3 linked regions of the Sus scrofa genome follow. The main gene of each other region encodes a partner of the protein of the gene in region 2 in a complex. Links are inferred from orthologs where the notes say so. Each region holds a gene or a part of one and is shown on either strand. Other genes may lie near its edges. The genes, in order: CDHR5, MYO7B and CDHR2.

Region 1 (3,851 bases), on a different chromosome or scaffold from region 2:
CTGGGCCACCCATGGCCCTATCTCTGGTTGCAGTCCAGCCACCTGGACCAGGTGTCCCTGAGGGCACCCCAGGGTGTTTATTGCCCACACTGTGGCCACAGGAGCCCGAGGTGTGACCCCTGGAAGGTCCCCAGGACCGTGCTCCCCTAGATGAGTGCTCCTGGGAACAGCTCCTGGCTCCTCAGCCTCCCCCAGGCCAAGAATCTCCATGCTGGGTCGGTTGGGAGGGAGATCCCAGCGCACGCCCCCCCCCCCCCCAGGGCCGTGGTTAGACCAGGAGAGGAACTTTCTGGCCACCAGCTGGCACCAAGCCTGGGAAGCCCCACGAGCACAGCAGGTGGTTTACGGGAAATGGTGCCCAGGGTTCTGCACAGGGCGTGAGCCTGCCCAACCCTCTCTGCCCCTCGGGCCACCAGGAGGACTCCCGCGGGGCAGGGGCAGAGGGGCCACGTCCCCACCACCCGCCACCCGCAGCCCCCTGGGCAGACCCCACGTAGGCCCGCAGATCCCACAATGTCACTTTATTCTGGGCAATGGAGTTGGGGAGAGGGGCCGAGCCGATTGTCGGCGTCCGGACTCGCTGGGGCCGCGGGGAAGCAGCGCTAGAAGTAGATGGAGTCAGTGCCCGGGGCGTCCTGGCCACGGCCGCCCGGGCCCGCGTCTGCACCCTCGTCGCCACCGCCCTCGCTGCCCGAGTCGCCGGCGCCATCCACCTCCGAGCCTGGCGTGTTGAGGACCACCACGTCGGCCTCAGCCCCAATGTCCTCCCCGAACCACACAGCCTTGTAGCCGCCCTCAGGCCGCCGCTCCTTGGTCAGGATGGACCTCACGGCTGCCGGGCTGCCCCCATCCGGGGCTACCGCAGGGGACTCAGGGACACGGTGAGAGGGCGCGGGGCTGTGGGGCGAAGGCTCTTGGGGCTCAGCATCTGGGGGTGCGGGCTTTGGGGGTGCTGGCGGGGCAGGGCTGGGTGGGGGACTAGGGGCGGGCTCCCAGTTGGCCTCATCTTTGGTGAGGAAAGCCTTGTTGTCAAAGCCTTGGGGCTGGGGCTCCTGGGGGCAGGGGCGGGTGGGAGGCAGCCATCAGCCAGAGCCCAGCGGGCTCAGACCAGCCCGGCCGTCCCCCGAGGCGGTCCCTCGTCCCTCCCTCCGCTCTCTGCCTCTCTCTGCTCCCCCCCCACTGTTTGGGCCATGGTGTCTGCGCCCCATCACCTTCACCCGGTTTCCATCTGCTCCACCGACCCCTGGTCGCGCTGCCTCCCTCTCGGTCCCCCATGCCCTCCACGGCCCTCTGCTCTCTCTAGCCCTGTCCTGTCCCCACCCCCAGGGCCTCACCAGAGCTTTGCCGGAGCAGCACTTGAGTCGGTGGCCATAGTGCTTGTGGACAAGGACCGTGAGGGCGATCAGAGCCAGAAGGAGCAGCGCGCCCAGCACCCCGCCTAGCACCGCCATCTCCACAGTCGAGAAGCGCCTGTCCCCGTTTGAGATTGGCTTCGCTGCAGTGCTGCTTTCTTCGTTCACCGGCGTCCCTGCCGGCAATACCACCACCCGCTTACTGTCACACGCTCATGCCAACCTGTGGCAAGCGCCAGGCACCTGAGAGCAAGCCAGGCCTGGCCACCACCAGAGCTTGGGGAGTGGGCACCACTGACCCCCACTAAGGAGCTGTGTGTTCCCAGGGGGCCCCGATAGGCCAGGCTGCTGGGCGGGAGGGGAGAGGGATCAGTGCCCACTGGTTCCAGGTGGGAGGGAGGGGCTCCAAGGTCACAGGAAGGGGGCTAAGGGCCACATGGGGCCAGTGGAGTGAATGGCCCAGGGAACTGGGGACTTCACTGGGTCTCAAGTCCAGCCTCTGCCCCACCCTCCACACACCTTCCCCAGGTTCCCTCCTGGGCCCCCCGAGACCCGTCTCTCCCCGCGACCAGAGCGGACTCCCCTGGGGATTTGTGGTCAGCACGGTCATGATGGGCTGACCTGGGGTGGACCCTGCCTTACAGTGACCACCCAGAGTCATGAGTCAGAGAGCATGAGGGTGACTCTAGGGTAAGTGGGGTGCTACCTGAGGACCAGGGGTTCCTGCTGGACCCAGGGGATGTCGGCAGAGAGGTTCCTGGCTTTGAGGTCTGTGCTGAGCTCCCGCCGGGTGAGGCTGATGGGGGGGAGGGGCTGGTTCCCATACCGGGGGGCCCCCCAGGCATGGAGGAGGTAGGTGGCCTCAGAGTTGTGCCTGGAGAGGGGTGCGGGCCAGTGTCCCCCCCAGAGCTGGTCGTGGAGGACCCCTGCGAGGGCTCAGGGGACTGGGGGGCTTCCGCAGTGGTGCTGCTCGAGGGTCTGGTCGCTGAGCCCCCACTGGGTGAGGCTGATGGGGGAGGGGGGCTGGTTCCCGTACTGGGGGGCCCCTCAGGCACGGAGGTGGCAGGTGGCCTCAGAGTTGTTCCCAGGGAGGGGCGTGGGCCAGTGCCCCCCCCAGAGCTGGTCGTGGAGGACCCCTGCGAGGGCTCAGGGGGCCGGGGAGCTTCCGCAGTGGTGCTGCTCGAGGGTCTGGTCGTTCCTGCAGTCTCTGGGGGTGTGGGGGGGCCTGAGGGGCCTGGGGCCAGGGACAGGCTTGGGCTTGCCACTGCCCTTGGCAAGAAGCCCTGCCCGAGCCCACCTGGGGTCCCTGGGAGGCTCACCTGTGGGGCTGGGCTCCTGTTCCGAGACTTGAACCTCCAGGACCGTGGTCGCTGTGCCTGAGGTCACCGTGTTCGTGGCCTCCACCTGGGCGGGAAGGGGGCTCGTCCCTCCTGGGCTCCGACTTAACCCCCGCCCCTTGGAGATGCTGCCCGGCCCTCACCTCTGCGTAGAAGACCCCAGCCTGCATCAGCAGGGCGCTGGTCAGCACGGCCTCCCCGTCCATTCGGAAGTTGGAATTGTTGGTGATTCGGTACGTGATGGCCGAGTTGAGGTCCTGGACAGGGTCCAGTGAGTCCGGGGCCCAGGCTGCTCCCTCAGGCCCCTCCAACCCACCCCCAAGGGAGGCCCGGGCAGTGCCTACGGGGAACTCAGGGTCCTGGGCCCGGATCCTCAGAGGCTGGGGCGGGGCGGCTGCATCCTGGACTGCCACGCCCGGCCCGGAGCCCAGCGCCACGGTGCCGCGGTACAGGCTCTCCGGGAAGCGGGGCAGGCTCCCGTTGGCGTCCAGGGCCTCCACCGTGACCTGGGTCACCGAGTAGCGAGCGCCGTCCGCCTGCTCCCCCTGGGGGTTGCAGAGGCGGCCGTGACCACTGGGTCCTTGGAGGGTGAGCCCAGCAGCCTGGGGCCCAGGAAGGGCCTGGAGACCTGGCCCTGTGCGGGCACCCACCTTGACCATCAGAACGAAGGTCTGGGGGCTGGGGATGCTCTTGGCCATGGTGAGGTTGCCCGAGTCGGCACCGATGGAGAACGTGCCGTCCTCATGTCCTGGGGGGCGGGCGGGAGGGTTTGGTGCGGTCGCCGCCGGAGGCCTGAGGTCCCGTGGTCCCAGGTGGCAGCCCCCCCCGCCCCCCCCGGGGTTCCTCAGCGCAAGGTGGGAGTGGGGCGCGGTGTGGGGAGGGAAGCCGGGAGCTGGTGCGCCCTCACCCGTGACCATGCTGTAGATGATACGCTCGTCGATGCCCCGGTCTCCGTCCACGGCGTAGATGGGCCCCGGTCGCAGGGTGAGGGGGCCTGGCTGCAGGAACAGGGAGGGAGGGTGCCGTGGAGCCGGTGCCCTGGCCTTGCCTCAGCCCTCCTCCCCTCAAGGAGGGCTGGCGTCGCCCTCCGAAGGGCAGCCAGGCACACGCTCCAATCAGCACAATTATCCAGTGCTCCTCCCTGGATCCGGTCGCGGACGAG
Region 2 (3,586 bases):
GTCTCTACATCACCTGTTGCCCTCTCAAGCTTCTCTTTAGACCCCAGCACCCCTGGAAAGAGGCATGTAACTTGCAGCCTTGGAGATGTACGTTCATGTACAGGCTCCTTCCCTTCTCATGGGCGGGAACTGCTCACAGGGAACCATCTGGAGAGGGAACAAGGGACGGGGCTATGCGTGTAGGGCACAGAGCAACCCTGTGCAGCCTTGCACCCTGGGTGGGGCCCTCCATGGTTCTCATCTACAGAGAAGTTCTCCATGCCCTTTGGGAAGGCCTGCCTGTGACATGCCAGAGCCCCCCTTGGTTAAAGCATACCCCAATGTGGCACGACCCCTGTGATCACATCAGAATGTACAGGGCACATGTAGCCACCTCTTACTGAGGCTGACCATGCTGGCCACTGTCCTCTATGCCAGTAAGGCCCACAGCTTCCCCCCCTGCCCTGAGTCTGCAGGTGAATACACTGAGGCATGCAAAGGCTCCACCAAGCTCACCCAGGCTGGTGCCCCATCTCAGCACCACCATTCTGGGCAGTGCCCCCATGGTGGCCCTGCACACTGGCCACCACATTGCCTGCCCAGAGCTGACCCCACAAGCCAGGGCTTGGCACTCCCACTGCCTTTAAAGTCCGTGGCACCCTGAGCTCTGGCTCACCTGCCTGCACACAGAGCAGGGCCCAGGGCTGAGGCAGACCCTCCCTCAGCCCCTGTCCCTGCCATGGCTCTGGACAAGCCTCTGGGTTTCCTCATCTGTAACTCAGGAGGGTCACCCGTCTGAGGCTGTCGAGGGGCTGACGCAGGGGGAGGGTGGAGGAGGACCCTGTTCATGCTGCACCCTCTTCCCCTCAGGGAGGCCCGAGGTGGGCAGAGGCTGGTGCTCTCCACACTGCACGAAGAGGAATACGAGTTCCAGTCCCCCAGCAGCGTGGCCATTGCTGAGCTGGTGGCCCTGTTTCTGGAGGGCTTGAAGGAGAGGTCCGTTTTCACCATGGCTCTGCAGGACAGGAAGGCCACAGGTGCCTGGCCAGGCGGGGAGGGGGCCTGGTGAAGGGTGGCTCATGGGCCAGTGGGAGGGCCGCTTGCTTGTGTGGAGTCCCAGTGCTCACATGGTAGGCAGGGCACATGGACTTGAGCAGAGAGAGCCCCAAATCCCTTGGGGGGGCAGCTGCAGGACTTCTGCAAAATGAGGGGATGCAGGGTGACCAAAGTGAAGTTCATAGAGGGCTGTGCTACTGCCAGAAGTGAAGGAAGGGCCAGCACCCTCCCTCTGCAGAGGGCAAACAGCCCAGGCCACCAGCCCGGGTCTTGCACACCATCCCCACAGCCACCCTGTTGTCCCAGTTTGCAGACAAAGCCTAGAGGCTCAGAGAAGGGATACAGCTTGGGGGTGGGGAGGGGGCGAGCCCTGGCAGACAATTTTTCAGCCACGGCTTCCCGGGTGCCCCTGGAAATCAGGCTCCAGAGGTAGGGGTTTGGGGATGGGGCTGAGCATAGGGTCTCAGCTGCAGTAAGGAGCAGAGTGTCAGCCCCACAGTGGCATCGCTGTTGCCCGTTCTAGCCTTACAACTGCCACGGAAGGGAGGGAGTGTTTTCTCCATTTTGCAGTGGAGGAAACAGACTCAGAGAGGTCCCCTAAACCCTGAGCAGGCGTGGTGACTGCCAGCTGGTATTATGCCCCCTCTGTCCATTCGCCTCCTGCCTCACAGGCCATGTCGTGGTCAGGCCTCTGAGCAGGTCTCCCAGCTCTGCCCACCCCAGGCTCTGTGCCTGTCCAGCCCCCTCCTGTGGCACCCAAGTGCCTGAGCTTGGGGAGTCCCAGCCCCACTCACACTCAGGGTAGCCTTGGGCCCACGGCTCTGCATCTCAGTCTCCCCACCCATCCCAAGAGACAGCCCCCAGAATGCCAGCTTGGCCTCTGGCCTCTGCTGAGCCCTTGGTAAGTGGCGGCTTCTCTGCCCCTGTGTGTGTATGTGTCTGTGTGACCCTGATTTGTAGATGACGTCACTTTCCTGCCCTTCAAGAAGGGGGACTTACTGATCCTGACAAAGAAGCAGGGGCTGCTGGCTTCTGAGGACTGGACCCTGGCCCAGAATGACAGGACAGGCAAGACGGGGCTGGTGCCCACAGCCTGCCTCTATGCCATCCCAACAGTCACCAAGCCCTCGGCACAGCTGCTGGTAACTCACATGCTCACCCGCCTTCAGCCAGGCACCATGGGCACCGGGGCAAGTGGCTGAGAAGCCTGGCCTGGGGTCCTAGCTCAGGGGCCTGGGCCCCACCTCACGGAGAGCCTGGGCATTACATCAGCTCTGCCAACCCCATCATCCCTCTGGGTCAACAGAGGGACCCAGATAGATGATGAGGCCTGGCACAGCACTTGGCACTTAATAGGTACACCATCAATGGACCTGCCTTTTATCCCTCTCACCAGGGAGTTCCCTGGGAATGACCCCATCCTTGCTTCAGCATCATTTAAATACTGATCTAAGGGGCCTCGAGTCTCTCTTCCCCTGACAACCATCCCAGCCCAGGCCCCAAGACCTGCCCTGCAGGGAGACACGACAGACAAGCAAGCCCTCCAACATGCATATATCAAGTGCCAGCTGTGTGTCCTGCGCCTGCAGCACAGGACAGAACACAGCAGTATCCCTGCCCTCAAAGAGCACTTGGATAAATGACAGCTTGATGTCAAGTGTGCCAAGTGCCACCGAGAAACAGCACTGTTGTTATGGGAGCAAATCAGAAGGTGGGCTTGCCCTGTCCAGGAAGGTGTCCCTGGGGGATTGACGTTTGTGCCCAGGCCTGAAGGAGATGGGGGTGCCAGGCTGGCAGGGCCAGGTAAGAGATGTCCCTGAGGAGAGGTGCCTGGTCCTGGGTCACACAGCAGGCAGCACATGTGGGGTGGCCCCCTCCCAGGTCTCTGAGGCAACCGGGTTTGGTGGAGCCCATGGGTGGGGCCTTGTGGGCGGGGCCTCTTGGACACCCACAGGCCCCTGCCCCTACAGAGCTTGCTCGCCATGTCACCTGAGAAGCGGAAGGTAGCAGCCCAGGAGGGGAGGTTGGCAGAGCCACCGCCAGAGGAGCAGCCTGAGGAGAAGCTGCACACCCTGGAGGAATTCTCCTACGAGTTTTTTAGGTACGCGCCCAGCCCACCTCCACGCCCCACCCCAACCAGTCCCTGGGTGCTCCATGGAGGCTGGGAGGCCATGAAGGCAGGTGCAGTGCCCACCTGGCCTTCTGGGGCAGGGAGGGAACCTGCACAGAGACCATCCCCAGAGCCCGGGGCCATCTCCCCACTGTGTGCACATGGCAGGCAATGGGGAGAGGACAGGCATAAGGAAGGCCTCCTTCCCTGATAGGGCCCCAGAGAAGGAGACACTCAGCAGAGCCATGCTCCCCATGGCCCGAACCCGGGGCCACCTGTGGGCCCACTCACCTGAGCCGCTGCGGCAGCCCCTGCTCAAGCGCGTCCATGCCAATGTTGAGCTGCGAGATGTCGCCTGTCAGATCTTCATCGATATCCTTTCCGTGCCAGCCCGCCCCAGCCCCATGCCCTGCCTGTCTGTGGGCACAGTCCCCTCAGCCG
Region 3 (4,198 bases), on a different chromosome or scaffold from region 2:
AGCATACAGAAGTTCCCAGGCTAGGGGTTGAATAGGAGCTACAGCTGCTGGCCTACACCATGGCCACAGCAATGCCAGGTCTGACCCGTGGCTGCAACCTACACCACAGTTCATGGTAACACTGGAGCCTTAACCCACTGAGCAGAGCCAGGGATCAAACCCGCATCTTACAGATACTATTCGATTTCATAAGCTGCTGAGCCACAGTGGGATCTCCAGCATGATGACTTTTATGTTTTGTACAAGGCACAAACAGTCTGTCTCCTGCCTCGGGCCCTCACCATCCCCCAGGGAAGGAAGAGAGAGCTGTCAATCCCTTTAGACTTGAGTCCCAGGGATGCTCAGGGCCTTGCCCAACAGCCCACACCAGACGGGGCAGAGCCGGGACGCCACCCGTCCACCTCCCTGTAAAGAACTCTTCCCTCGGCCTGGGTTTCATGCAATCTTGCCTCCTTGTCATGGAGACTTTTATAAACACACACTCATTTGATCATAATAAGGCCAAAGTTCTACAGTCCAGAGTGTCATCCTCTGGCTTCCGTCATCTGAGAAAAACGCACAGAGCCCATGTGAGGTGGCGAAGGCACAGGCTGAACCTGCCCCACCAGGGAGCCCTCCCACGTCACCAGGCTCAGCCACTCCCTGGCTCAAACCTCTGCCATGGCTTCCGCTGGCTGTGGAACATACATTCCATCTCTCCACCTGGCCAGCCAGGGCCTCCCAGGTGCTGGGTCTCTTCCCACCCAAGCCTTTCTTCCCCCCATGGCCTCAGGGCACACCCTGTTTTCCTGCCTCCATACATTTGCATATGCCCGCCCCTCTGTCCAGAGCACCTTCCCCAGTCTCCTGTATACATGCAAATTCTCTCTACCCTCCAAGGCCAGGTCAGGTGTGGAGCCAAGTTCACATGTTGGTGGCCCCTCCTCCAGCTCCTAAGCTCCCGGCACCCCAGCAGGGGCAGGGGACAGGGCAAGCACCAGTGAACAGGAAGTGAACCTGGAGTTCCCATGGGCTGGACTGGGGAGGCCTGGGAGTGAAGGAGACATGGCCTTCTCCAGCATCCCCCAGTCACCACATGGCTGAATCCTGCAGCTCTTCCTTCTTCCTCGCTGCCTCTCAGTTTGCCTTCTGAAAAATGGGACAATCTATCTACATTCTAGAAATTAGTTTCTTTTCCCCCAATCCCCCTTTCCAAGCTCCCTCCCTTTCCCTACCCTCAAAAAGTGCTTGGGGAAGGGTCAAAAAGGATGCTGAGATGAATTAGATTAGAGGGGCTCCAGCCCCCACCCCATGGGACACGCAGGCCCTTGGGAGTCTTGACAGTTGGGAAGAGGTGTACCTCACCCCCTACAGCAGCCACAGCCCACAGCTCCAAAACTTTCTAGAATTTGGAGGGACCGGGAATGGAGGGACCAGGAATGGGGACCTCAAGCCAGCCCAGGCAGCCCTCCTCACCCACAGGAACCCCACGGGCAGGCTCAGCCACCAGCTATCACCACCATCTCCAAATGGCCAGACTCTCACTTCCGCTTTCTTGTTTACTTCTCACAGTTGTTTCCCAGCTGTAGGAATGATCATTCTAGAGTCCAGGTGAGGAAACCGAGGCTCAGAAAGGGATGCCCCAGAGAAAAGGGCAGAGCGTTAGACCCAGACTGGCTCCCAAGCCCAGAGCCCCTGGGCAAGCCCTGGTCTGGGTTCTACTTGACTCCACCAGGGCCTAGGGGCCCCTCCAGCCCCAGCCCCAGGCTGCTTCCCTGGCAGGCAGATCCTGAATCAAATGGTCCTGGGTTCAAATTGCAGCATTTTACTTACTTGCTGTGCCACCCAGGCAAGCCCTTACCTTCTCTGGGCCTCAGTTTCCCGGCTGGGAAACAGGGTGCAGATAAGAGTCACACACTGGTCATGACCTGTTTCTATCAGTGTTCCCTGGGCCTCTGTTTTGTATCTAGTGCCCCAACCCAGCAGTATCTGCCTCAGGAAGAGGCCCAGGCCTGGCCCAGCTCTCAGCCGATTTTCCACTTGGTACCCCAAGGCAGAGACATGTCGGAGCCGGAGAATGTGCCAGAGCTGGGGGCTAGCCTGGGGTGAGTCCCAGCTGGAAATTTCCTAGTGCTGCCCGAGGAGGCACTGGACTCCATCGCTGACCACAGGCCCAACTGCTTCAGGGCGCTCCAGCGTCTTTCCTGTCCTGTCAATCATCCCCATTCTCCAGATGAGGAAACTGAGGCCTGAAAGAGTGATGGAGCCCACCCAAAGCCAGGATAGAGCTGGGGTCTGAACTCAAGCAGTTGGAACTGGAGCACAGTCCTTTCTCCTTGAGCTCTGGGGCCCCCAGGCTCAGCCAACCTGTCGTCACCCCCTCAGGCTTCCTGTGAAAGGAGCCAAGGCAGGTAAGCTCATTTCTCCAGGGGACCTGCCTCCCTGCTATTCCGGGAAGAATTCGTGGTGGGTCCAAACTGCCCAAAGCCTTAGAAGAGAAGCCTTGGGAAACTTGGGAATGGGTATCATTAGCCTCACACCACAGAGGAAACTGAGGCCTTTAGGCCAGTCTGGGACTCACTCCAGGTCCTCCCAGCCCAGCCCCAGTGCTCGCTCCCTCCATCCAGCGCTTCCACCCAACTGGCGAGGGACGGCCCTCCCTTCCGCCTGCTAAAGCTCGCCTTGGCCCCAGTGACCCCACTGGGTCCCGATTCCTGGCCAAGAGACCCCCGCCCCTGCTGCAGAAGAACTGTGCCATCCCTACCTGCGCCCCAGAAGGGGTCCCGGAGGCAGAGGATGGGCGCCGCCAGCACAGGTGGGCACTGTCTGGGCTGGCGGTGGTGCGGCCAGCAGACTTTGGCACCATCTCCGCCTCCCCTGAGCAATCATTAACCGTGACAGAGACCACACCTCCCAGGATGGGAACAACTCCTCAGGAGGCCCTGGCCACAGCTGGGGAGCAGGTAGGAGGGCCAGACCAACGCCACAGCCCCAGGCTTCCAGGTCTGGAGACCTAGACCACAGGCATCAGGGCCTGGCCAAGCTGGGCCCTGGGGACGTGGGAATCAGGCCCAGCCCTGCGGCGGGCAGGAGGCCAGGAGGGCAACATCTGGGCCCTCCATCCTCTCCCTGCTATAAGATTCCTCAATGGAAGAGGACCTGTGAGGCAGGTACAAAAGGAAACAGGTGAGGGAGGGAACTAGAAAAATAGGGTAACCCTCAAACATGAGGTCTTCACAGAGGAGTAAAGCCCTCAGAGGGTCTCTACCCTCCCCCGGGCTCATCCACCTCCAGGTTGGCCATGCTGCCTGCATCTGGACCATGGGGCGCTGGGTCCTCCCTAACCAGGGACCCACTAGGGTAGACAGGGAGACACCCAGCCCAAGATGGACACTGGGTGAGGCCTGGAGCAGCAAAAAGAGATCACGAGATGCAGATGCACTGGCAGGTCCAGGGAAATCCTGGGGGAGGATGTCCTTGTACCTCCTGAGAGGAGTGGAATCAGCTTTTTTTTTTTTTTTTTTTTTTTTTTTAGCTTTTTAGGGCCCCACTCATGCCGTATGGAAGTACTTGGGCTAGGGGTCAATCAAATTGGAGCTGTGGCTGCCGGCCTCCACCACAGCCACAGCAACACCAGATCTGAGCCATATCTGTGACCTACACTGCAGCTCACGGCAACGCCAGATCCTTAACCCACCGAGGGAGGCCAGGGATCAAAAACACATCCTCGGGAGTTCCCGTCGTGGCGCAGTGGTTAACGAATCTGACTAGGAACCATGAGGTTGCGGGTTTGATCCCTGCCCTTGCTCAGTGGGTCAGGGTTCCAGCGTTGCCGTGAGCTGTGGCGTAGGTTGCAGACGCGGCTCGGATCCTACGTTGCTGTGGCTCTGGCGTAGGCCGGCGGCTACAGCTCTGATTCGACCCCTAGCCTGGGAACCTCCATATGCCACAGGAGCGGCCCAAGAAATGGCAAAAAAGACAAAAAACAAACAAACAAAAAACACATCCTCATGGATACTAGTCAGGTTTTTAACCCATTGAGCCACAACAGGAGCTCCCAAGGAACCAGCATTTATTGAGCACCTACTGTTTGCTTTTAGCTGTGGTCTCTCTAATGCCTGACATCACCCAGGAAAGGCAGGTACCGTTGTGATCATGCCCACGCTACAAAGAGGGATCATAGGGTTCAGAGAGGGTGTGGCCATAAGCCAGAAATCAA

The links.
Region 1: MYO7B (region 2) and CDHR5 share a complex: the UniProt entries of both Homo sapiens proteins name them as parts of the IMAC/intermicrovillar adhesion complex. The link is inferred for Sus scrofa from reciprocal best matches to the Homo sapiens genes MYO7B and CDHR5.
Region 3: MYO7B (region 2) and CDHR2 share a complex: the UniProt entries of both Homo sapiens proteins name them as parts of the IMAC/intermicrovillar adhesion complex. The link is inferred for Sus scrofa from reciprocal best matches to the Homo sapiens genes MYO7B and CDHR2.

Annotation. Positions count from the first base shown.
Region 1 is NC_010444.4:375,943-379,793, forward strand, and holds the end of CDHR5 (cadherin-related family member 5), read right to left. Parts: intron 3,688-3,851; coding exon 3,597-3,687; intron 3,438-3,596; coding exon 3,340-3,437; intron 3,235-3,339; coding exon 3,034-3,234; intron 2,947-3,033; coding exon 2,833-2,946; intron 2,757-2,832; coding exon 2,672-2,756; intron 2,587-2,671; coding exon 2,059-2,586; intron 1,529-2,058; coding exon 1,335-1,528; intron 1,053-1,334; coding exon 603-1,052; 3' UTR 507-602; downstream 1-506. UniProt on the Homo sapiens protein: Intermicrovillar adhesion molecule that forms, via its extracellular domain, calcium-dependent heterophilic complexes with CDHR2 on adjacent microvilli. Thereby, controls the packing of microvilli at the apical membrane of epithelial cells.
Region 2 is NC_010457.5:59,716,020-59,719,605, reverse strand, and holds part of MYO7B (unconventional myosin-VIIb), read left to right. Parts: intron 1-849; coding exon 850-1,016; intron 1,017-1,995; coding exon 1,996-2,177; intron 2,178-3,005; coding exon 3,006-3,136; intron 3,137-3,359; coding exon 3,360-3,517; intron 3,518-3,586. UniProt on the Homo sapiens protein: Myosins are actin-based motor molecules with ATPase activity. Their highly divergent tails are presumed to bind to membranous compartments, which would be moved relative to actin filaments.
Region 3 is NC_010444.4:81,358,748-81,362,945, forward strand, and holds the start of CDHR2 (cadherin-related family member 2), read right to left. Parts: upstream 2,852-4,198; 5' UTR 2,846-2,851; coding exon 2,744-2,845; intron 1-2,743. UniProt on the Homo sapiens protein: Intermicrovillar adhesion molecule that forms, via its extracellular domain, calcium-dependent heterophilic complexes with CDHR5 on adjacent microvilli. Thereby, controls the packing of microvilli at the apical membrane of epithelial cells.